Linked DNA regions of Oreochromis niloticus. The protein of the gene in region 1 interacts with the protein of each later gene in a biochemical or structural test. Links are inferred from orthologs where the notes say so. Each region holds a gene or a part of one and is shown on either strand. Other genes may lie near its edges. The genes, in order: acvr2ab, bmp7b and erbin.

Region 1 (7,559 bases):
CACTCAGGTGTGTCCACCTCCCCCTCAGCCGCGCCACAGCCCGCACCCTGCCACACAGCCACTCTGTTAAAGATTTCCTGCTGTGCATGAGATCCTTGTCCTGTAGCATGATGTTGTTTGTTATAGCCAAACATCTCTACTTTGGTCTCATCTGTCCAAAGTTCAGTGTTCCAGAGGTCTTGTGCTTTGTTCATATACGACTTTGCAAACTTAAGCTGTGCTGCCACATTCTTATTAAAGAGAAGAGGCCTTCTCCTGGAAACCCTTACAAATAAACCATCCTTCTTTAGTCCCTTTCCAATTGTGCTGTCACAAACTTTAACATTTAACATGCTAAATGAGGCGTGTAGAGTCTGAGATGTAGTTTAGCGTGGGGTGAATTTCCTGGGACGTCCACTACTCCTGGGTGGGAAGATTGTGGCATTATGTTAACACACCAGAATGCCCCAGACCAGCAAACAGCCAAAGCTGTTTCACTGTGCTGTGCTGTGCTGATGATTACTTAGCAGTACCTGCTACTAAAGCTCAGATTATGGGCTAGCAGCGGTAGCATGTTGGTGGTCCAGTGGTACTGATACACTGTGGTCTACCTGCAGAGAATTTCAATAAACAGTGTCAACAGACGCAGAGTACAAAGTATGTGGTACAACCGGTCTGCTGGCCACTCTTACTTGTGCTGTTGGTGGTTGATCAGCCAGCCATGGAAAAAAACAAATTTGTAACATACAAATGAAAACAAGTGTTAAAAAGATGAAAGGTGTCCACTGCAGCCACAGTCTGTACTGGTCACACTGTATTTTTGATGTTTTATATTTTGTTTTGTTTTTTTGCTTTTTCTTGCTTCTCGCCTTCCTGCTGAACTCAGGACTACACAGAGGCACATTCACTGTGGGTGAAAACTCCTCTCTATGCGCTGTCTGCATGGAAATCATGCAAATGGATACATTGGCAGGACAGTATTTTAACCCAAATTGTGATATTTTCTAGCCAAATACCAAATGTGACTTAAAGTAACCAGTGACTGAAAAGGAAACTTAAAAATGGTGATGATAAAAATCTGAAGTCAGTTTTGAAGTGGAAACAGTCCCATGTGTCATTTCAGAAACACTTGAAAAATGTTTGTTTCACTTCACTTACGAACTAACGCCGATAAGATCATGTAGTTGGACGACTGGTTAGAGACATTTCCATGAACTCAATCAAGAAAGTGAAACTTTACAGAGGTCGAATTATTTGTCAGGACACCAATGTGAAGCAGACTTCAAAATCCCCCAAGAATTAAATTAATGTTAGTGTTTATTAGCAAATGTCAAACACAAGGCAACAAATATTCCTTGTATACTGTGATTTCTAAGGGAATAGTACTGGTTTTCTTGTATTGCATTACTGCCCTGTTGTGAAGTTCTTAAATCAACCCAATTCATCCATCCGTAATCATTTTCCAGAATGGCGCCTATCCCAACTGTCCATGGCCAAGAGAAGGACAAAGGGTCACCCGAACAGACTGCCAGTCAATCGTAGGGCCGACACAATACAAAATAAGGCAAATTAAACATTTTCAAACTGAATTGAAAAATAAGGCTTTTAAACCAATAAAAACTAATGAAAAATAAATTATTTTACTTTAAGGTTTAACTTCAATATGGATGCATCCATGTTCACCTTTTAGAGGTTAGTTGGATGGACTTGGATTCAAGCCCTGGAGGTCAGACTGAAGTTCATTTAGGTTAGGTTATGTGTGACATTTTGCTCTAGAAACCATTTTAAACGGGTCATGTGACTCTAGGCTTTTTCTGTATTTTTGTTTGTTCATATTTTAGTTACCAGGATTTATAGGAAATGTTATGGGTGAATTTACATTGACGTTTTTCCAATTTAGAAATGGTAAAGTTTTAAACTTTCCAGGAATTTTTGGAAGGTTTCTCTTTCATTGAGAAAGGGGGAAAGATACATGACAAGTTTAGATAACAGAAATATAAGACATCATCTAGAAAACAAATCTCAGTCTCAAACATATGGAGAAGGTCTGGAGAGAAGTACAACAGTAAGAGTCTACAGTCGTCTGTAAAACTCGGTGGAGGCTCTGTCATGGTTTTGGGCTGAAGACTAATCCCTGAAGACGACTTAAAGAAATGACAAAAGACTTACATTCTACATTCTTACGTTCTACATTTTCCACAGGGTGTCTGTTTTCTTTAATATCTTCATATTTTCTTGGACATCAAAATCAATCAACCCATAGGCTCATAGATTGTGAAACTCATTTCAGTCACATGATCTTACATCTCAGCTGAGATGTTGCCTGCAAACTGGAACTTTTCTATTAGCTCCCGATCTATTTTCTTACCACTTATTCATCTCGGGGTGATTTATTTCACAATACTGGTGATTTACAACAGGGTTCTCAGTTATCAGCTTACAGCACATGCTAAAGAATTTGCTTCAAAATGCCTCATCAATTAGCAACAACACAACCCATGGATGAATGAATCCTGTAGGTGTGGTATAGGCTGATCATGAAGCTATTGTTACAGCAGCTCATCCTAAACTTCTGTAAGTGAATTAGTTAATTGTACGTGACGCAAGAAAGGAGTGTGACAATCTGATTATGTGGTGACTTGGTGACCACAGCTATGCTCACAGCGTGCTGACACATACTCAGAAACAAGCCTTTTGATTCATGTTTCTAATATCTTTGAAATGATGAACATCCTGTTGGGGCTGCTTTCGCTCTTTCCGGAGAGATTTCATTTGTGATGAAAGTTTGAAAACGCTGCTAGGGGAATAACATTGACAAGAACTAAACTCCTCACCCGGGCTTTGTCAGTGCCTTGAGCCCCAGCCATTAAGCTATGTACAGGACCCCGTGTTTTGCTGAAGATGAAAGCCAACACTCCAATATAGAACAGGTGACTCAGCTTCCAGCTTGGCAGAGAAATCCCCCGAGACCTTTGACCTCCTAATCGTTTAGCAGCGCTTATGGTTGGAGATCTGCTCCAGGCTATTAGAGAGATTAGTGTCACACAGATCTGGGGATGGGCCAAGCCTATATCTGTACTTCATGGTATTCTCAGCATTTATTACTGAACACCCAACCCATGCTGAAACCTGATATATGTAGGTATAGTAGCACATACTGGAAAGTGAGGCTATATGTAGCCTATGTGCGGCATGTGTTGACCTATATGAAGTGCTGAGCTGTATAATGAACATACTGTTGATTAGAAAAAGGACATTTTTTATGTAGTTTAAACCTCAACAACACCACTGTAGATGGCTGTAGTATAAATAGTTTTTCTTTTAACATAAGGTGTATAAAATAAGTACACGTTGACTAATGATATGCAATATAGCATGCACAAAATTAAAATTAATGCAAGTTATTGTAAAGACTTATAAATGTGTAACAAATTGGGCAATTCTTACTTTGAAAGGATGTTTAAAGAAATGTGACCGCCCCTCTTTTCATTCTACGGCACGCACTGGAAAGCAAAGCTAACAGCCTTCCCGGACAAAAACAATCCCTAGCTCATAAAGCAGATCGATCAAGCTGGATAAAGTTAGCCAGATTGGCACCGGAAGTTGACTAGCAGTTCTTTCAGAATTAGGGTAAGACCCCCCCCCTCCCTCCAATAACATGTCAAAAACATTCAAAATACTAAAATACATTTGTTTATGTGATTTTATGTGGGGTTTTTAAAAAAAAATTTTTTTTTCTTATTCATACAAAGTCCATTAATAACAATGTACTCTGGACCTCAACATTATTGAAGCAATGTGGGATCATCTTGATAGAGTCTTCATAGTGCAGTGGTTTACAAATTCGCCAAACATGCTAAATATCTCTGGTTCATTTGAGGGAAGAGACAGTAATCTCACAAATGGCATCCAGAGTCAAAATCTGCCAACTCAAAGACGTGGAGCTACCTGCTGTGGCAACTCCTTGTGAATAAGGGAGCAGGCAAACGTAGCTCCTTGACAGAAAACAGAACAAAGGGCAGCCAACATCCAAAGAAGAGCTTTGAATGGTTTTCATAAAGCCTGGAAAACTATTCCTGAAGACTACTTCAAGAAATGACAAGAAAGCTGCCTAAGACAGTTCAGACTGTGTTGAAACACAAAAATAAAATCTTAAATAAAAATCTTAAATCAAATCATTTTCAAACATTTTGAGAAGTCTGTTAATTTTGGGGGCAGATTTTATAAATAATAATGGAAACAGTCACTTACTCAGGATTTAAATAAATGTTTGCGCCAAAGCCTCTCTGGGCTTTTTATAAAATGTATAAAATTGATTTTAAAAAGACATCTAAACATCTATCTAAAAAGAAAATCATACGTTTTTTGCTTCGGTTGCGTAGTTTTATTTTTTATATCAGTGAACTAAAATTTCTCTTTACAGCCGTTCGTTTACAAGCGTAAACGCTGTGGTTTTTATTTTGAAAACCCTCGCCGGAAGCTCGTTGTATGAGCTGGGTAAGCCTAACAGGGTGCCAGTGACGCCATCTTGAAATCGTCCCGAGCAGAGGAGGCGAGGAGGAGACGGACTTGGGAAAATCAGCTCGTCCTAAACTCGACAGCTACGCGGATTAACGGCAGCTTCAGCGGCTAGTGCTATCATATGATAGTCTTTCCACTTGTTCATTCGAATCTTTTGGACCGGGAACGGTTGTTTGGCCCACTTTGGAGAGGGCTGTCGCAGCGGGAGGGGGGCAAAGGCAGTCTGGTAATCGGTTGTTTCCCTGCTGGAGCGGACGGAGCCGTGGTTGTGGCCGGGCAGCCCCGCCGGACCGTCGGACGAAGCCTAAAATCTCTGCACGGAATATAACACCTAAGATAAAGCTTTTAAATCCTTTTTTGCAAATAGCGGGAGAGTGGAAATGCTCCCTTTCGACGCAGTTTGGACATTTTGAGAGCTATGCGACGGAGCTCACCGAGGAGAAGTTTGATTGGAGAGCGGAGTGCGTTTGATTTGCAGTCCGATGGATGTTAGCCCTGCCCGGCTGTGGCTCGGGTCCGTGCACCGTTCTTCTGAAAAATAGCACCACCGGGCACAGGTGAACAATGCTACTGCTGCAGACCTGGCAAGTACACGATAACCCCGGCTCCAGTGCCATCAGTTCACCCTGCATTGCTTGTGTATAAACCTGGAAATACCAGCGACCATCCCCTCCTCCTCCTCCTCCTCCTCTTCTTCATCATCCTCCTCCCGTCTTCTTTTTTTGGACTAGTGAGGCTTGCATTACCTGGGATATTTTGGATGTAGACTCGAGCTTGACTTTTTTTTTTTTAAGATGCAATATTTCCAGAGACAACAAGACATTTAATTTGACTCAATCGTTTTGAGATTTTTTTTTTTTTAAATTCTGGAGCTTTTTGTGCTTTTGTAAAATTCTCTTTCTAGTCAAGAGGATCCAATTCGGATGGAAAATGGGAGACGCCACCAAATTGGCCTTCGCCGTTTTCCTCATCTCCTGCTCTTCAGGTGGGTGTGGAGGTGGGGGGCAATGTATGTTGCGTACGGTCAGCCGTGCAGTGCATAGCTTGCTGTTATGTGTAAGGAGTGTAACCTCTTTTTGGGCATCATTGGCGTGCATGCAAACTACAGGTGAGCCCCAAGATTGAAGGGGGGGGGGGGCTCAAAGGGCCCTTGAGTGGCTTCCTGTGGGACACACGGGTACAAATTGGAGTTTTTTTCATGAAGTTAATGAGGGAGCAGCCAGGGATTTGTGTTGATGAAGTGCAAATAAAAGGTAATCAGTCACCATTTTTTAAGGGGAAAATAGGCATTGATGTTTAATCGCGTTGGCCAAACTGGATGCATGTGGCTTCTTTCTACATCTACATGCTAAAAGCCATTTTCAGCACTCTGTGTTGGTAGATGTCCATTATATGTACTTATTTCCCCGGGGTGGATGTTTAATGAATGTCAGTGTGGTGATAATAAAGGAAAGAGAGGTCATCTCGGGAGTGCAGGGCATGCTGTTTATGTGGGCGACTGGGAGAAATGCTTCACACTTTACTTTTTTACTTGCCAGAGTGTTCCGAGAGCAATTGTTCTTTAGGAAGAGAAGTCCTTGAAGTTTGTCATTTTAAATCTACCTTTTGGGTTTGGTTTGATAGGACAAAAGCCACTGAATTTTATTTATTTTTTTAATAGAATGAGAATAATATAGTTTGCAACAAATATAAAAGAGGAGACAGACAAGCAATTATATAACGTAATAGATGATTAAAGGGTAAAAAGACGGAAAAATCACATGACTAAAAGCAAGGTTACAAAAATGTGTTTTTACAGGAAGTCACAGATTTTACGAGCCTTATCTGCTCAGGCAGGTTTTAGAAAGCCAAGGGCTCCTGATGGGAGAAGCACCTCCACTTCCTCAGGTGGGGCGCTTTCTAACAATGTGAAGTAGGTTATATAAGGGGTCAGAATTTCTGCTACTTGGCCTTAAGCATGAGTAGGAAAATCTAAAATGTACTGGGAGTCAAAGGATTGGGATGATGTGATGCCGTCTGTACCAGTAAGAAGCTTCGCTGCTCCGTTTTGAACTGTTTGGAGGTGAGAGAGTGGTGTTTCATTTGCAGTAATTTAGCCTGGAAAAAGCACAAGAATGAACCTTTTCCAGCTAATATTTTGTTTAATTTTAATAGTAGATGTTATTTGGAAGAAGCAGGAAAGGAAACTTTTCTGGTTCAAAGGTTAGAGCTGAGTACGTTTCTGACTGCTGACTTTAGGGTTCTAGGACACCTTCAGAGTGGTTTGTATGATTTTTAGATTAGGGAAGAACATGATGTATGACTTTTTTTTTTTTTTTTTTTTGAGGCATTTAATTAAAGAGAAGTGTGTGTTTTAGGGATCATAAGGTATCTATTTCAAATCTATTTATCCTAGGGAAAGCAAATAAATAGGACCTATAACAGGACCTAAAATCGAACCTTGTGGTATGCCACAGATAATGCTCAATTAAAATGCTAAGAGGGGTCACGAAACTCCAGCTCCACACTCCTTTTTGATCCATCTCCAACATTTATCTTTTGCCTGGACACCTTCTCTTAATTTTCCTAAACCTCAATACTGGTGGAAATACACACATAAATGGCTAGTCCTAAATCTCTCTAGCTGTGGATTCAAATATTTAAAAAGCATGAACTCTCTCCCAATGCTGTTGGCTTCTGGCTTCGTATCATTAGTCTGACATGGACTTTATTTAAAAAAATAAAACTTTTAGTATGTTAAAAATTTTACCGGTGCTGTCTGTCTTAGTTATTATAAAAGGAGACTGTTTTTAATTTGAGTAATTTGTGTAAACATAGGTAGGACTCAATGTTTCATACATATTAGGCTTATACATGCTATTATCATTGTGCTGATAATAAAAAAAGTAAATTATTGTTATTTTAGTTTTATAATTTGCAACAAAACATGAAATAAGTACCAGTTATTAATAAATAAGTCACTGTAAAGGCGTTGGATGTGGTCAAAGGTAGTAAAGTATCTAATTTATGCTTAATAGACTGTCACTATCAGTATAAACCTTCAAAACTGGCTATTTTGA
Region 2 (7,697 bases), on another chromosome or scaffold:
TCTCTGCATATACTCAAACAAGCTGACAACAAAGTGTATCAGCTCCGTTGAGTGGCAATCAGTAAGGAAGAGTGAGAGCTAGAACAATTCTTTTACATTCTATGGACTATTCTAGTAGCTCAGGGATCTTTGATTTTGATGGCAATTCTAAAATCAGATCCATTTTCCCATATTTGACCATAAATTTAAATGCAAACAGTGCATGAAAACAGGCCTCTCAGGAAGCAGCACCCAGGGTACAAAGTCTGACTAATGTACCTTGGCTCAGTAGCTATGGAGACATGCAGTTTTGAGGGACAATTTTTAAATAAAAGCTACACTCATTTTGCTCTCAGACAACCTAAATAAGAAAACAAAAACCACAACGAGCAAATGTGGAAAGGAAGGAATTTGGAGAGGAAATAGTCAATCCATTTGAAAGCCATCACTTTCTTCTCAGTGAATTCCCTCTCCCTCCCTCCCTTTCGTGTAAAGGGTAACGAAATTGCATATTATCTGCTGTTTTGAATAAAGCCACCAGGATGTCTATTTGATGGTATCACATGAGAGTACGGAACCAGCCTAACAATGGACCCTACTGATAGATCTAACACGTGGCAGATTAAATCATGAATGCGCTGTTTATATCCAAATGAGTGTCATTTGAGGGAAGACTAAATACGTGCTGTGAGGAAGACTCAACCTGAGCAGATGCCATTAGTGATTACATTAGCCACAAGATTTCAAGAGGGCAGTGTGACTTTGTTTTTGTTAACATAGGAAATAAAAAAGTTCTCCCTAGCTGATGTAAGCCATCTTGCAAAAGTTTTTTGCTAAAAAGACCTTTGCAAAATAGACAGAGGAACTTTATCACTCTGCCAAAGGCTCCCTGCTCCCTTCTTTCTCGCCATCTTAGTGCCGTCTTGGCCCTTGACTTTGCGAGGCCCTTGACTTGTGTCTTGAGTCTCTGTGGTCAGATCCATCTGTGTCACAGCCTGTCAAAAATAGTCACAATGCAGCAGCTCCCACAGTAATTACACAGTGCAGTGGAGGAGCCAGTGTCACCTCCCTCTCTCTTGCCAAGACACTCCAACAATGATCTTTCCAGGATTGAATGTAAATGTCTCACTGCTTGCAGAAAGTCAAGAAAAAAAAATGTATTGGCTTACAAAAACTGTAACCATCCGTATGCCTCCTACAGATTTGATTTATTTCTATGTCTGTCTGGTCCCAGATTGATATGTAAAAGCTACTCATCTGGAACATAAATGGAGCTGTTGCTGTGACTACATAATTTGTTAAGTAAATTGAATTATAATGATGCTTTTATCAATCCATAAATCTGATACCACATGCTAATGTTTTGACTATTTACACTTAACAACCTCTGACTGTTGCTGGCAGCAATAAAAAATCCAGGAGTGTTCGATTTCAATAAACATATTTGATTAGATAAGCACATTGGGCCAGGAAACAACATTCAACAAAGCAATTTAATTGATGTGAAGTATGTCCTATGCCACTGATATTTATTTTGTGAACAACTGAATCTAATTAAATCACACTGTGACTAAACTAACATCACTGGCTGGCATTATTTGTGATGTGAGGGATGTCTCCAGATTAGAGTTAAGGGAGGACCCAGTGCACTTTGAACTCATTCTGCTGTTGACTTACTCATTCTTTAGATAACACATGGCTGACAAGTTAGCTGCTGTCTGGTCCATCATCCACAGAACAGCACCTGAACATTAGCTGGTTGCACAGCTGTTTAACAGAGAAGGACACTGGAATGTGCCACTCCTGGTATTAGCTAGATAACTGCAGTATGTAAACGTCGTTATTGTGCTGGTCTCCTTTGTGTGGACACAGGTGTACCATCAGAAAAATACTTGTGCTGTTTCTTTACGTGAAGCACTGTGAGAATATAAAATACCACCACAGTCATTCTGCTCTTCCACCTTTGACACTTACATATCATATGACTAAAAGCCTGATTTGTCCCAAAAACAATGTGTAAGATGTATCAAGCAGAGTGCAATATTAAAAGTACTAAATCTCCTTGTTAAAAAAAAAAAGAACCCCGACGCGAATTAACATATGAAACTTCTCAACACTTATAATCGTCAAGCCAAAGATATCTGTCCTTAAAAAAGCTTTTTTTTCAAAGTCCTTGCTATGTGTTTGATAATTAATAGATAAAGACAGTCATAATAGTACTACATTTTATTAATCAAATAAAAGACCTGGGTTATTATGACGCGCATAACAACGATTACATTGATAATATTTCAACGTGTTTATTATTCTCTACGGTCTTGTTTTTCTGGGAGGGGATTTATATAAAACTGAATTTGATGGGAGACTTAAGAAAATAAAGTGCCTACCTAAATTCACAAAGCTCATGACCATGTCTGCATCGTTTAAGAAGTTGTTGTCTTGCAGGCTGGCTATCGGTGGACCCTGTGTGGTGAAGACGGGTTTGTAAGGGTAGGAGTATCTGTCCTCGTCTCCGTCTGTAGACATGGCGTTGTACAAGTCCAGCATGAACATCGGGGCAGCATTGTGTTTTCCATGGAGGTGGGGTCGCGGCCGGTGCGGCAGTCCCAAGATCGACAGGATCTCCCGCTGCATCTCTCTGCGCTCCTGGCTCTTCAGCCGACGGTGGATGAAACTGGAGTGAAACTCGTTGTCCAACGTAAAGTTCGTAAAGGCAGTGTTTGCCAGGACGCAGTAGCTCCAAACCAAGAGCAAAACGGGAGCACGCTTATCCAAAATCTGTGCCATAATGCTCGCAGTGCGTAATTGCGCCCAATTCGGATCACCGAAACTCTAAAAAAAAAAAAAAATGGTTAGTAAACTTTTAGCAGCAGGCACTCTGTGTTTAATATCCAAAATCAGTTACGGTCCCTCATGTTGAGGGAAGTGCTGCCGAGTGAAACATCAACTTCACTTCAAAGTCCTTTTATTGACTGCTTTCCTGGACGCGTGGACCTCGGTCCTCATGCGCAACCTGTGGTCAAGCTCTACCAGCTGTAGTGCAGCCTGCAACTGCAGAGAGGAGGCTGCAAGCAGACAGGTTTCACTAGGAGAGACGAGAACAAGTTTTGAGGAGGCGCTGTTTGCAAAGAGGAGTAGAGGGAGAGAGAGAGAGAGAGAGAGAGAGAGAGAATGTTGTGGTTGCCTTATTGAGCAGAGCTAGCCTGGCTTTGTTGCCAGTAGGAGAACGCCTTGAGGCTACATGTGCAAATAAGAAAAGGATTAGGACTGGATTTGTATTATGACGCTTCAGTTTATTATACACCACATTTCGTCAATGCTTTCCACATTTCCTAGTACCTGTAGGCTCGTGATAATTCACTAATGACTGATGTTAAGACAGCCACAACAGACCGTTCATGGTGAGTGTACATATGGAAGGCTGATTTCATATCAGAGAGTTCTTATTTGACTTTGCAAGTGAATACTTCAGTACTGTAGGAGAGGTCGCAACATGTAGTTGCAGTCCTGCCATTACAATAGTTAATTGGCTGATCCGCAGGTGCACTCTCTGAATGCCTTGGGTCATGTGGCTCTGAGACTCTAAAGCCTGTTATCTTTTGATGTCAAAGAGGCTGTACTGCAGCCCCACAACTGCCATTTCACGCTGCATTTCTGAAGATATCCTAGTTTTCCATCCCCAGAGCTAGAGCAGGAAGTTTGTGACAAAAGCAGCAGTGCACAGGGCTCAGACTGCAAAGGAGGGGTGCAGATGTTCGGCAGCTGCTTCATTCCTCCATCTGCCCCCCTGGCACCAGCACCTCTTAAACACCACACTTTAATAGAACGCTCCTGACCCTCATGTGCGCTTTGCTCTCACTGACACAGGCGGAGGGACTTCAGATGGCCCGAGAATGACTGCTTTATCTAGAGAGTACTCACTGCACAGAGAGGGGAGTTTCAAAGGGTCTTCAGGCTACAGCTTGCCAGGTGATTTTTATGACAATAAAATTAGACTTCAATGGCACAGCAAGAGAGGCTGCCAGACAGCTTAAGCTATGATTGCAAACAGAGGAAAGGGAGGAAAGGAGGTAGAGCATGTCTTGGGGTCTTAGCTCACCTTCCTGCCCATTTAATGTGGTTGTTCTTGTCTTCAAAGGCGTTCCACTCCTCTTTTTTCCAATGACAATTCAACATGGCTTAAAGCATTAAAGCTTACATAGCCTGCCACTACTCATTTTGTATATCTAATACTCTATTTGCTTTTAACTCGCCTTTCAGTAGTATGTAACATATAAACATTTCTATCCGGTGCCTCAGATAGAATCAGCTAATGGCTGCAGGTGTTTACATAACAGCAGTTTCCGACAGAGGACTTGAAAGGTCCTGGGTTATAGCTATACATCTTCCTCTGTTTCTCACTTTCTTTTGACTTTCTCATTGTTTCATTCTCATGCCCTTTCTGTAAGTCTGGTGAGGTCAGATGCCCCCAGTGCTCTTCAAACAGCCCCCAGCCCTCAGTTCAGTTTGTGCCCAGAGAAGGGCTGACAATCCTGGACGGGACAATAAGAACAGACCCCCCTTTGTTTCGGCCTCCATGAGTCTGGTGACAGTCCCAGTAAACACTGGGCACAGGCAGAGGCCAGGCAGGGTAAGCTGCACTAAGGGGCCTTTGACAAGGGGGACTAGTAGAAAAGTAGAACAAACAGTGTTTGAATATCCTGTCAGTAATGCACACACACATACACACACACATACAAACTTCCAAAAGAATAGCCACAACTTGTCTCAAGTGTGTCCCACTAAATTGAATATTTTGGCTAAAATACACAAGCCAGACAAATTGTGAGACACTCTGTTTGGGCCTGTAAAAGAAAATGTTAAAAAATAAATGAATAAAATAAAACATACACGGAACATTTCTGCTTAGCTGCTGAAAAAAGTAGACACGTAGACATGCAGTGTACCTGAGTAAGTCTTTTCAGGAAGAAAACTCTGCTGAGTTGAACAGCTGTGCAGCCATGATGACAAGGGCTATTCTATTAGAGCTCATAATGGTAAACTCAAAAGGTCTTTTCTTTTAAAACCCAGCATTTGGCCTGGAGCATTTTGACTGCACACACACATGCGCTCTTTCCACTATGATCTTAGGGGATCTGAGCAAATAAACACCTCCCCACTACACTCCAACAGGTTGGAGCATGATGCAAAGCTCCAAAGAAGACCACACAGCGGTGCAGCGTAATATACCTGGAAATGCTTTCGCACCCAGGTAACACTTCAAAATATTTTGCTTCTTTCTTTTTACTTCTTTTTAGCTATGACAAGAGTTGATGCTCTTTCTGTTTAACTCTGCTTAGGAGCTCAAAGCATGCGGTCAGAGGTCAGATTAATATTTATTTCATGTGTTGCCTCAGAGAGCAGCAGGCAGTAGTCCTTTGAAGACCTGTGCATGCAGGGAGGCGGATGAGGTTTGGTGGAAGAGGGGCGGGGCGGGGTCTGACCAAGTAGACCAACAGACGATACAGTAAAACTTTTTTTCAAGGTAAACTGACCTTCAAATAAAGAAGTGTAGGGCCGGGGTGCCAGGACACAAGACGGCGGAGGCACATTTTTTGCTCATGCCCCCTCCCTCGTCTGCTGGTCCTGTCCTCCTTCGTCTATGTTTTTGGCGTAACCCCACTGTGTGCGCTGCACAAACCGACGGCCTGTTAAAACAGCCTAACCAGGTGGAGCAGAGCTATTGCAAATGTTCCCCTTCTGGTGTCTCACACTTCCAGGGGCCTCATGAACATATGAGACACAGCTGTGAGACAGGCAGAAGAAAAGAGGGGGGTGGGTATATGAAACAGCTTCAAACTAGTTCACATTGTAAAGCTCAACAACCAAAGAACCAAAACTCAATGTTTAACAACTAAACGTAATGTTTTGCCAGGTACAATAATCATGAAAAAGGGCGGCGATAAAAATTCAAGAGGACTTTTATTAGACTTGAGCAATAACAAATAGGTTACATATAATTTGGAACTGGCAATTGCAACCCAACCCTTATGTCGTTCTTTAATTTAATTTGGTATATATGAGCTTCATGACACTGTGACACGTCCAAATGATCTGCAGATATTTTCGAATGAGGAATATGTGATTATCTTATTTGAAATAGTGCACCTTGCAGCTCTCCTCTCCATCACTCACTGCTTTCTTTCAACCTGGTATGTCCTGCCACCCCATGTTTGTCTGCAAGCTGATATCACACTTGGGATCACCAGAGCAGCTTGAACCTGATTTATAGCTCTCAGCAGTCCAGCCAGACCCATCAGTTATAGTTGGTGTTGCTGACAATCAGAGATACCGTTTTAGTTAAGCCTTCTATAACGCCCAGCTTAGTAGAGCTTATCCTTTATAGGATGTTATCACTCAGGCGCCCTGTCACTTGTGTCATCAGCACAGAGTCCAGGCTTGACACTGGTTTCCTCACCCAGCCACACACTTATCGGCATCCATTACTGAGGTGTGTGGGCCTGATAAATGTCCACCCAGTTTCAGCAACTCTCGACAGAGGTCCCATTAAGATTCCTGTCTGTGTAGCGAGAGGCCTTGCCCCTTTGACTCTTGCTTTCATCACTCCATAAGGCTATGTTGGTCTGTCAATCAGAGAGGACCCTGGGTGATCAGTCAGCCCCTCTTTAGGGGATGCTGGTCTGAGGAGCCATTAGAGAGCAGGCAGCACAGACTGGCCAAAAACTGATGAGAAACAGAGGAGCAGCAGAGCCTGAGGTAGTAAGTGGAGGGGAGGTGGGAGGGTTGGCGTGTAGTGGGGGGTAGAAGAGCAAGAGGTGGATGAGCTGAATGTGGATTGTGAAGGGAGGGTGGTTCTGTTTTCTATTTGTGAGGATTAGGTTGACAGATCTGTATTTAGTTTCTTTGGGCCTCTAGCTGCAGCTAATCCCCCTCACCTGCAGCGGGTGCCCCCCCTTTCTTTCCTCTGACCCTGCAGCCCCTTACTTCCCCCATGTTCCCCCTCCTGCCCAGCACAAACACTCATCCCGAGACAAGCACATGACTCGTTGCACTCTGTCTCCTCAGGTTAGGGCCTCACACTCGACACAAATCTCTCTTGGGCCAAAGGAACAGCAGGGGTCTCGGGCTTTCTGGAACAGAAGAAAAAGGACCCCGGCAACCTGTGGTCTTCCACATATTAACATTTTTTCAGCTTGGGTGAGGGGTTGTTCCTCATCACTAAGAGATAGCAATTACTCAGAAATTAAGAGACATTACTACGGAAGCAGCTTGTCAAAGTCACTCAGGGGAAAGAGGGACCATTGGTAAAGCTGCACATTAGAAAATATTCAGGGTCAGGTCAGGGGCACGGACCTCTTCTCTTTAGATCCTGGCTCCCACACGCTCTGAGCAGGCCTTCACACTGTGGAAAAAAAAGACCACAGCGCCTCTCCAAACACACGCAGCATGCCTGCCAGCAATTCTGAAAGGTGGGGACTCTTGATGACCTAATAGTTGTAAAATCCAAGCACATTTTTCTGCTTTAATGAAGCGACATGACTGCAGCACAATGCAACCAAGAGACAGAAACAGGTTCTGAAAGGTTGTTTATGAAGTAAAATGTGCAATTTCCTCAGGGTGTCGTATTTATTTAATGTCTTTTTAATGTTTGTAGCTTAAAACAGCTGTAATTAGGCAATAACTGTCTGATATAGTAAACTGAGCTCCTAACAAAAGAA
Region 3 (7,739 bases), on another chromosome or scaffold:
CTTTGGACTAGCACACTACATGTTACCTACTAACAACAAAGGTAGAAATAAGGATACGAGTCAGATCAAGGCTAGACATGCTGAAGAGGAAACGAGCACTTGTATGGTCACAGAAGCAGAAGATTAAGGAGGGGGGAGAAGGAAAAAAAAAAAAAAAAGGTTTCCTACGTGGTATAAAGCGTCATCAGAAAAGACACACCTTAAGATCCAGTGACAATGAAAAGCACCATGTTACGTACTTGTTTAACAGCCGACACCAGATGTAAACAGAAATAGATAAGCCTGTACAGCCACTTTTCCATCAGTAGATATACCGCTGACTCTGAGTTTAGCAGGATCACTCATTGTTTAAGAAAAACTTTTAACATGATATACCCATAAGTAAACCAGACTCTGTTAAGAACATGAAGTCAAACAGTTTAGAGCTGTTTCGAAAGGAAAAAAAAGATAGTTTTGAACCAGTGTACTTACTAAAGGATATCCAATTCAACATACATAGAGATATGGAAGAATTTCACAGCTAAACCGACATTGATTTGTGGATTAACACTTATGCCAACATGTCTGGTGTATAATAAAGATAAGAAACACAGTTTTACTGCTTTTGGCAGTGTCTTGTCTCCGACTGACACAACAAACTTTTAGGCAAGTGGAACAACACTTCTTTGCCACCTGTGCGAGAAAAGAACAGTAGAGGAAAGAGCCTTTGTTACAGTGAACCTTATCTTCAGTTCTAGATAAGGTCTGTTGTAAATGATCACATGAGGAACTTGATAACCAAAATGCCATGACAGGCCTTCAATACCTCAATGAAACCAGTGTACTGTAAGAATACGACACACACTTCTGTTAGTGATATACAAAATATCCATATACCAAATACACAGCTTTTCCCGATGAGTGGAAATGTGTCTACAAGAATACAAAATTAGTGTAAACAAACACCTTTGGGAAAACATCCAAAATTCGGGCAATTTTCTGCTTACACTATATATACACTTTTAGTCAGTTTCATTACCAATACCTGAATAATCTTCTCCAAATAGCTGAATATCAGCTTGTAGATAACGGGCCCATAACATTGACAAGCAGGGGAAGATCGAGCCTAGTCTTTGTTTACATTTTATTACAGCTGGGAGAGCCTTTGAAGACTGATCTGATAAGGTTTCTGTTTGCTTGACTGACAGCTCCAAATACCAAATTCAACGTTTGAGTTTTAAATCACCCTGGAAGACATTCATGTGAGATTGAAAAATTCAATTACAAAACACTGTGCCCAAAATGCACGTATCGTATTGAAAATGAACATGTAATTGTTCTGCAGTTGTGTATGTATTCGCACAGTTATGGTTGCAGTAGCCTTTGATACCTCCACGCACTTGAATTTTGAGTTTAAATATTACTTTTCATTAAATGACAATCTGTTATCATGACATCCATAGTTAGTATCTCAATCTACTACAAAATATTATCTCTGGCAACACTCCACCTGGTTCAGTACGTTTGTAAAGTTATGTTATGAAATCTAAGATAATCTACACAGATGCAGAAATATCTCCGATTCACCTCTTAACTGTACTTTATAGTCAATTAAGTTCCAGTAAGAAGTTGACACATTAGCGGATTTAATCTAGGTATCTTACTAACGACACTCGATCCCGGGCTTATTACTTGTCTACCTGAGCGTTGCCTTCAAGGTGCCCTGAGACTCAACCTGATTGCATCTCCTGACACCATTTCCCAGAGCGGTGAATGACGAACACTAACAACAAGTCGACAGGCAAGGACAGACCTGCTGAAATTCCTCAGAATAGTCCTGAATTTATCCCGGATCTTAACGGGATTAAATTACAGTGGAGTTAAGTGAGGACACTAATCTGATTAATGAAGCGGCGAGAAAATGAAAACGCCAATATGTTGATAAGTACGGCGCGCTAATCCGTCCTAGACGGTGTAGGCGCAACAAAAGATGCGAGTGTTGCTATTGCGGCGCAGTTATTAATGGCTGGTTTTAGGAATAGTATCAACACTTATAGACTGACAGCTTTAAATGTACTACACCGCTTTCTAAAGCGAATAAATTAGTGCCAAGTGAGCTACATCGCAAAGGGGCAACAGCATACACAGCTGCTGATGCGAAACCTTCCGAAAACACAGATGCTCAAGTCTGTTAATACAGTCCAAAACCTGTTGTTTTAAACCAACAATGCTCTCACAGCCATTACTAAACTACAAGCACCCAGATAATACATTATCGTATAATTCCACATTTAAAATCAACCGCATTAATGCGAGACTTCAAGTGGGACAACCTGAGAATGGGACCTCAGCGATACAACGCTACAGCTAGCGTTAGCATGCTGTGTGGGGCCCCGCAGACAGAAGCAGTAACTTGCGCAAACAAAGAGACTTACCTGAGTTACTGTCGGGTCAGCGTCTCATTTAATGATATCCAGCTTATGTGAAGGCTGATACTACCCAACAAACACCTTGAGAAGTGGGCATTAGCTGGTTTCACTGGTTTGCTTCACGACAGTTCAATTGGGTCTGGCTAGTGTTAGCAGCTAGCTAATATTGCCTTACTTAGAGAGCAACTCGAAGCTGGCCCAGTGCGTACATTCTCCTCAGCGAGCCGCCCTCAAGTTTAACGTTGTCCCTCTCAGTTGTTTTGAGACATAAAAATATTGCCTTGTGGCACAGCCAGACTAACCGACGACGAAGACAAGCGCAAAAATGGTCCTTAACTGATGCAAATTAATGACACAACATTAAAAAAAATCCAAAATGTCCACTACATTCAGCAAGGAAATACAAAAGGCAAAACTGCGAACCACCTCCGGCACAGCGAAACCTTTTCCTCTAAAGTGTGCCGCACCCAGATGTTTTCGCTCATAATTTCCAGGTCTTTGCTCATTTACAATAGACGCAGCTCTACTGACTGGAACGAAGCTACATTGAGGCTGTGGGGCACAGCACGAAGCGGCGAGTTTCTTCTCTGCGACCTCCGCGGGTACATGGAGAAAGCTGTCCACCAGTAGTCGCCTTTCCAGCCTCACCGAGCCCCGGGGACGACGCTTTCACTATCTCACCCAGACACTGCTAGTGATTCCGCTTATCTTCCTCTGTGCATTGACTTATTGACACTGTTTTCCCTTTCAAATAGGCTACACAGGATATTCACACAGACTGCAAATGCGTATACAAACCAGACCGACAAGGGATTTTATTAAACCCATTTACATATAACGTACAAAAAATAGGTGTTTGTACGGTTTGCAGCAGCCTTCATTACTCTTGTTATGTCGTGGCGCCCTCCAGCGAAGATTTTTGCATTTCACTGGAAATTTAAATTAAATAGAATAATATGGCCTTTTTTCTGGAGATTTAAAGATAGCTCAAAGATATATCCATTAAAATAGCCAAGTGCCTTTCAAGGGTAGAATTTTCCACATAATGTTTGACGGGTGTGCTCAACGTAAAAGGCTTGAACAGTCTAACGTCTAGTGTCAACCCTCTAAACGACTTAATGAAGTTGTCAGGCCACCAAGAGTAGGTAGCTGATAAATGTAATATAATGTGGCAGCAGAAAGAAGCAGTTGAAAACAGTTTTTTGACTATATTGTAAATCTAGTAAGGGTATGTTAGCGCCTATACTTGGATACCTGTAACTTAAGCCTGCTGTTACTATTTTTGTACCCTTGACATATCTGATCACTGCATGGAAGGAAATTCTGACATGTCACAGCAGAAGTGATGGCATAAGTAATGAAATTAATGACGAGAATGTATGTTTCGAAAAAGAACTATTGTGGAAACCATATTATTCATATTCTTTAATATAAAGAAATATCCATTCTTTATTGTACGAGTGTCAAACATAGGGCCCAGGGGCCAGAAACGGCGGCAAGGACTCCAATTTGGCCTGCTGGATGGCTTTGGAAAATGTGGAGGGCTTAAATTATGGACATGAGTTCTACAGCACCATGGTCATCCACACAACACCAAAGTAATTATGTAAAAGATAAACAAATAAATGACAGAAAAGTAGTTCCCATTTTTTCAGTAACTACTATAGAAATGTTTTTTTCAATTGGTTCATAGTAAGACAAAATAAAGAGAAACAGATCATTTTCTCTGAACTAACAAAAGCTTTCTGCTTTATAATTACAGGACAGTCCTGGCAATGAGCAACCAGAACCTTTTCTGTAATTTTATAAATTTCTTACAATTTAAACCCCCCAAAATTGTGCTTGTATTTAGTATGGCACAATTTTTTCATCATGTAGAAATAAAAATGAGACAAACTGTAGAAATAAAAATGAGACAAACTGTAGAAACTGCACTTCTTGTTCATATATGAAGATATCTGATGGATTTAATGTGTAGTTGAGCTTCACTGGTCTGGCCCACTTAAGATCAAATGAAGTTGTATGTGGCCCTCGAATTAAAATGAGTTTGACATCCCTGGTTTACTGTTTTAGTAACACCTCTGCCATGACGAATTAAAAAGGCTGTAAAACACATTGAACATGTCATGACGAGGCCCTGTCGTGATGTACTGGACATTTAAACAAAGGCAGACAGAACTCTAGTATGAAATCCTGAAGATAGTAATAATACCTTATTTCTCAACTGACATTTACCTGCATCCAGATATAATATAATAATGACAAAAACAGTTAAAGATCACATCAGATTACATTGATGCTTCTTGTGAGTTAACCAGTCCTTTGCATTGGAAAAAGGCATCCTGATACGGCGCACGTCCGAGGAAGGTTTTCACCATGTCCATCCCATCCACAGAGCCTCCAGCTTCCAGTATCACTCTTCTGTACTCTTTTCCAACCTGTGTTCAGGGCATAAATGCACATATAAAGACAGTTTCAAGAAAAATAAGACATCATTAGAGTGAAATGTTCAACCAGAAAACCAACCTTTGGATTCATAATGCCTTCCTTTTTAAAACGACTGAAGAAAATGTCCATGGAGTAGACTTCGCTCCATAGATAGCTATAGTACTGACCATCATATCCTCCAGCTAAGTGGCTAAAACTGGCTGTCATGTTGGTTCCTGCAGAGAGCAGATCTTTGTTACAAATCGCTAATACAAATTCCAAAAAAGAAAAACGATAGTGTCTGTGCGCTTCATACAAAACACTGAATACAAACTACTAATGCCCAGAGTGGACTGTTTATTATAAAATGTAAATCCGCATCACTGATAGAAATTCTAATGCAATAATTTCTCAAATATATTCTAAATAGCTGAAGCTAAAGCTGACCTGGTGTAGCAGGAATACCCAGGATGTCCTGGCAGTGCTTTGCAAACACCTCAGCAGTGTCTGCACGTGGGCTGGTGTGAAGCGACTGGTCCACCTTACTAAGGACTACCTGACGTAGGTTCATAAGCCCTGAAGTGAACACATCAACAGAGACTCTTCACTTACACATAAATGTAACAGACTTTTTTGTGCAAAGTTTAGGTGTCTGACCAGTGTTAGCAACTCTGGAGGCAATCAGTTTGTCGAGCAGCTCGTCTGGGATGGAGGTACCATCTTTGTAGTGACAGGACATTCTTCTCAGAGGCTCCTTTTCCCAAACCCAGTTCTCAAGCATTTGAGACGGCACCTCCACAAAGTCTGTCTCCACCATTGTTCCGCTGAATTCTGAAAAAGCAGTCTGACGCATACACAGAAAAACTAATTTTTATTCATAAGCACACAGTATATAAATATCAATAACTTCCTGACTGAACATAGCGACTGACCTTAGAGCAGATTTCGTGCATGACATGACCAAACTCATGAAAATAGGTCTCCACTTCATGGTGTTGGAGGAGAGAAGGACAACCTTTTCTAGGCTTGGTGAAATTGGCTACCATGGCCGCAACCGGCAGCCTGCGCTTTCCATCGGGGCCTCTGCAGCCAGGCTGGAGCCCAAAGCAACCTGCGTGGCCATATTTTCCCTCCCTGGTGAAATGTCACAGTCAGGCTGAAGTCTATCACACAGATCAAGAGCTCTAGTGAATGTTAGTGAGCTCACACTTCATAAAGACATCAAACACAGGATCTTATCTTGTCTCTGAAAAAAATGACACATAATCTACCTTGGATGCAGATCCAGGTAGAACTGACCAATCTCCTCCCCTGTTTCAGTGTCCCGGGCTGAGTACAGCTTGACATTTTCATGCCACACGTCAGCCTGTTCCACCTCTGTGAATATGAGACCCAGCAGCTCCTGGTAGATACCAAACAGCCCTTCTGTCACCACATCAAGAGGGAAATACTCGATTAGTTTGTCCTTGTCCACAGCAAACTTGCGCTGCTCCACTTGATTCATGTAGTAGGGTAAGTCCCAGGCATTAATCTTCTCATCAAACTGGTAGCCCTTCATCAGGCACTCCCTCTTCTTCAGCGCAAGAATGTATTTCCTCTCTTTGATTCCCACGGGCTTCAGCGTTTCATGGAACTTGTCTGTAAAGGCAGAAAAAGAAAAACTCCTTAGTCGGAATGTGAAGCATGCAATTTTTTTGAACCTTTTGCTGTCTACTTTCTTATCTTCTTTTTAAAGCCCAAATCAAACTAACTCCCTTTGCACACTCAAAAAAAGAATATGAAAGTTGAACGTTTTTGTAGAGGAAATCTGTTCTAAATCTGCAAATGCTGAATATTCAAAATTTGTTGTTTGCATTGAAAACTATTAGTGCGGTTCTGGGTTCCTGTGTGATATTTTTTGAGTTTTGGTTCCTGTTTTGATTCTATTTATGTCATTTCTTATGTTTCCTTTCTTCTTCTTTCTGTAGTATCCCACTGCTTCCTTGTCTTTGTCTCTCTGTTAGTTCTCTTGTCTTTCTAGTTTACACTTCCTGTTTTTACTGTGGGAAAAACTTTTCTTTGTGCCTCTTGTACTTTAACCTTTTGCTTTTGTTCTGATTCTATGATTTATTCTTACTGAGCATCTCTCTGTGCATGTATACAGTCTTGTCTTTTTCCTTTGTTGGACTTGAATTTCTGTGCTTCTTGTGCTCCTTTTGTGAGCTCTGGTTTATTTCACTTTTTGAGATTAAAGACATGCTTTTAGTTGTTCAACCTGATTACAGCCACTACTAATTATAAAAAGCTGATGTTGTGTAATTTGTCATTAGTAACTGATTACATTTCACCCTGCATGTTATGTGACTGCGTGTGGAGTTGCACACCCATTCATCTGTCCTATTGAGTTTCTTTTCCTACTTTAAGGCAGTTATCAGGAGGCGGGAGAGCTCATCTTAAATGACAGGGAATGTTTGCATGTGTATGTGTGTGGCAGCGAGGTCAGATGTCAAAGAGACCATACCCAGAAAGTCAGACACGTTGCTTGCATTTTTAGCCATGTTAATCTCCAGCACATACTCAGCATGGCTACCGTAACCAAGTAAGTGTGCAACCTTCGCCCGCAGCTGTATCAACTCTTCTAAGATTGCCGTGTTTACCTGGGGGAAAAAAACGAGAGACGCAGCTCAGTTAAATCATTTAATTAAGCTTATTAAAACAGGTTTCCAGCCTGAGTTGATTCTGTGACACATTTGGTAACCAGTAGTAATATGTGGTTTCACCAAGCAGGTTCTCTGGGCTGCAACTTCAGCCCTCTCAAGACATGGGATATGCAACATTGCTTGTTTCATTAATGTGCTAAAGTGACAGCAATTGCTGATTGTATCCTTGTATGTCATTTAGACATACGAGCAGGCGACAAATTAA

What was found.
Region 2: the proteins of acvr2ab (region 1) and bmp7b are reported together in a solved structure, tested with the Homo sapiens proteins (2 studies listed by BioGRID, with this or other methods). The link is inferred for Oreochromis niloticus from reciprocal best matches to the Homo sapiens genes ACVR2A and BMP7.
Region 3: the proteins of acvr2ab (region 1) and erbin interact in a test that uses a peptide from one of them, tested with the Homo sapiens proteins (2 studies listed by BioGRID and IntAct). The link is inferred for Oreochromis niloticus from reciprocal best matches to the Homo sapiens genes ACVR2A and ERBIN.

What each region holds. Positions count from the first base shown.
Region 1 is NC_031986.2:18,295,993-18,303,551, reverse strand, and holds the start of acvr2ab (activin receptor type-2A), read left to right. Parts: upstream 1-4,486; 5' UTR 4,487-5,430; coding exon 5,431-5,485; intron 5,486-7,559. UniProt on the Homo sapiens protein: On ligand binding, forms a receptor complex consisting of two type II and two type I transmembrane serine/threonine kinases.
Region 2 is NC_031984.2:13,769,534-13,777,230, forward strand, and holds the start of bmp7b (bone morphogenetic protein 7b), read right to left. Parts: upstream 3,085-7,697; 5' UTR 2,767-3,084; coding exon 2,367-2,766; intron 1-2,366. UniProt on the Homo sapiens protein: Growth factor of the TGF-beta superfamily that plays important role in various biological processes, including embryogenesis, hematopoiesis, neurogenesis and skeletal morphogenesis.
Region 3 is NC_031972.2:13,430,038-13,437,776, forward strand, and holds the start of erbin (erbin), read right to left. Parts: upstream 3,079-7,739; 5' UTR 2,415-3,078; intron 1-2,414. Other genes in the region: nln (neurolysin, mitochondrial), read right to left, coding at 4,697-4,846, 4,935-5,071, 5,283-5,411, 5,493-5,679, 5,768-5,969, 6,107-6,473, 7,336-7,471. UniProt on the Homo sapiens protein: Acts as an adapter for the receptor ERBB2, in epithelia. By binding the unphosphorylated 'Tyr-1248' of receptor ERBB2, it may contribute to stabilize this unphosphorylated state.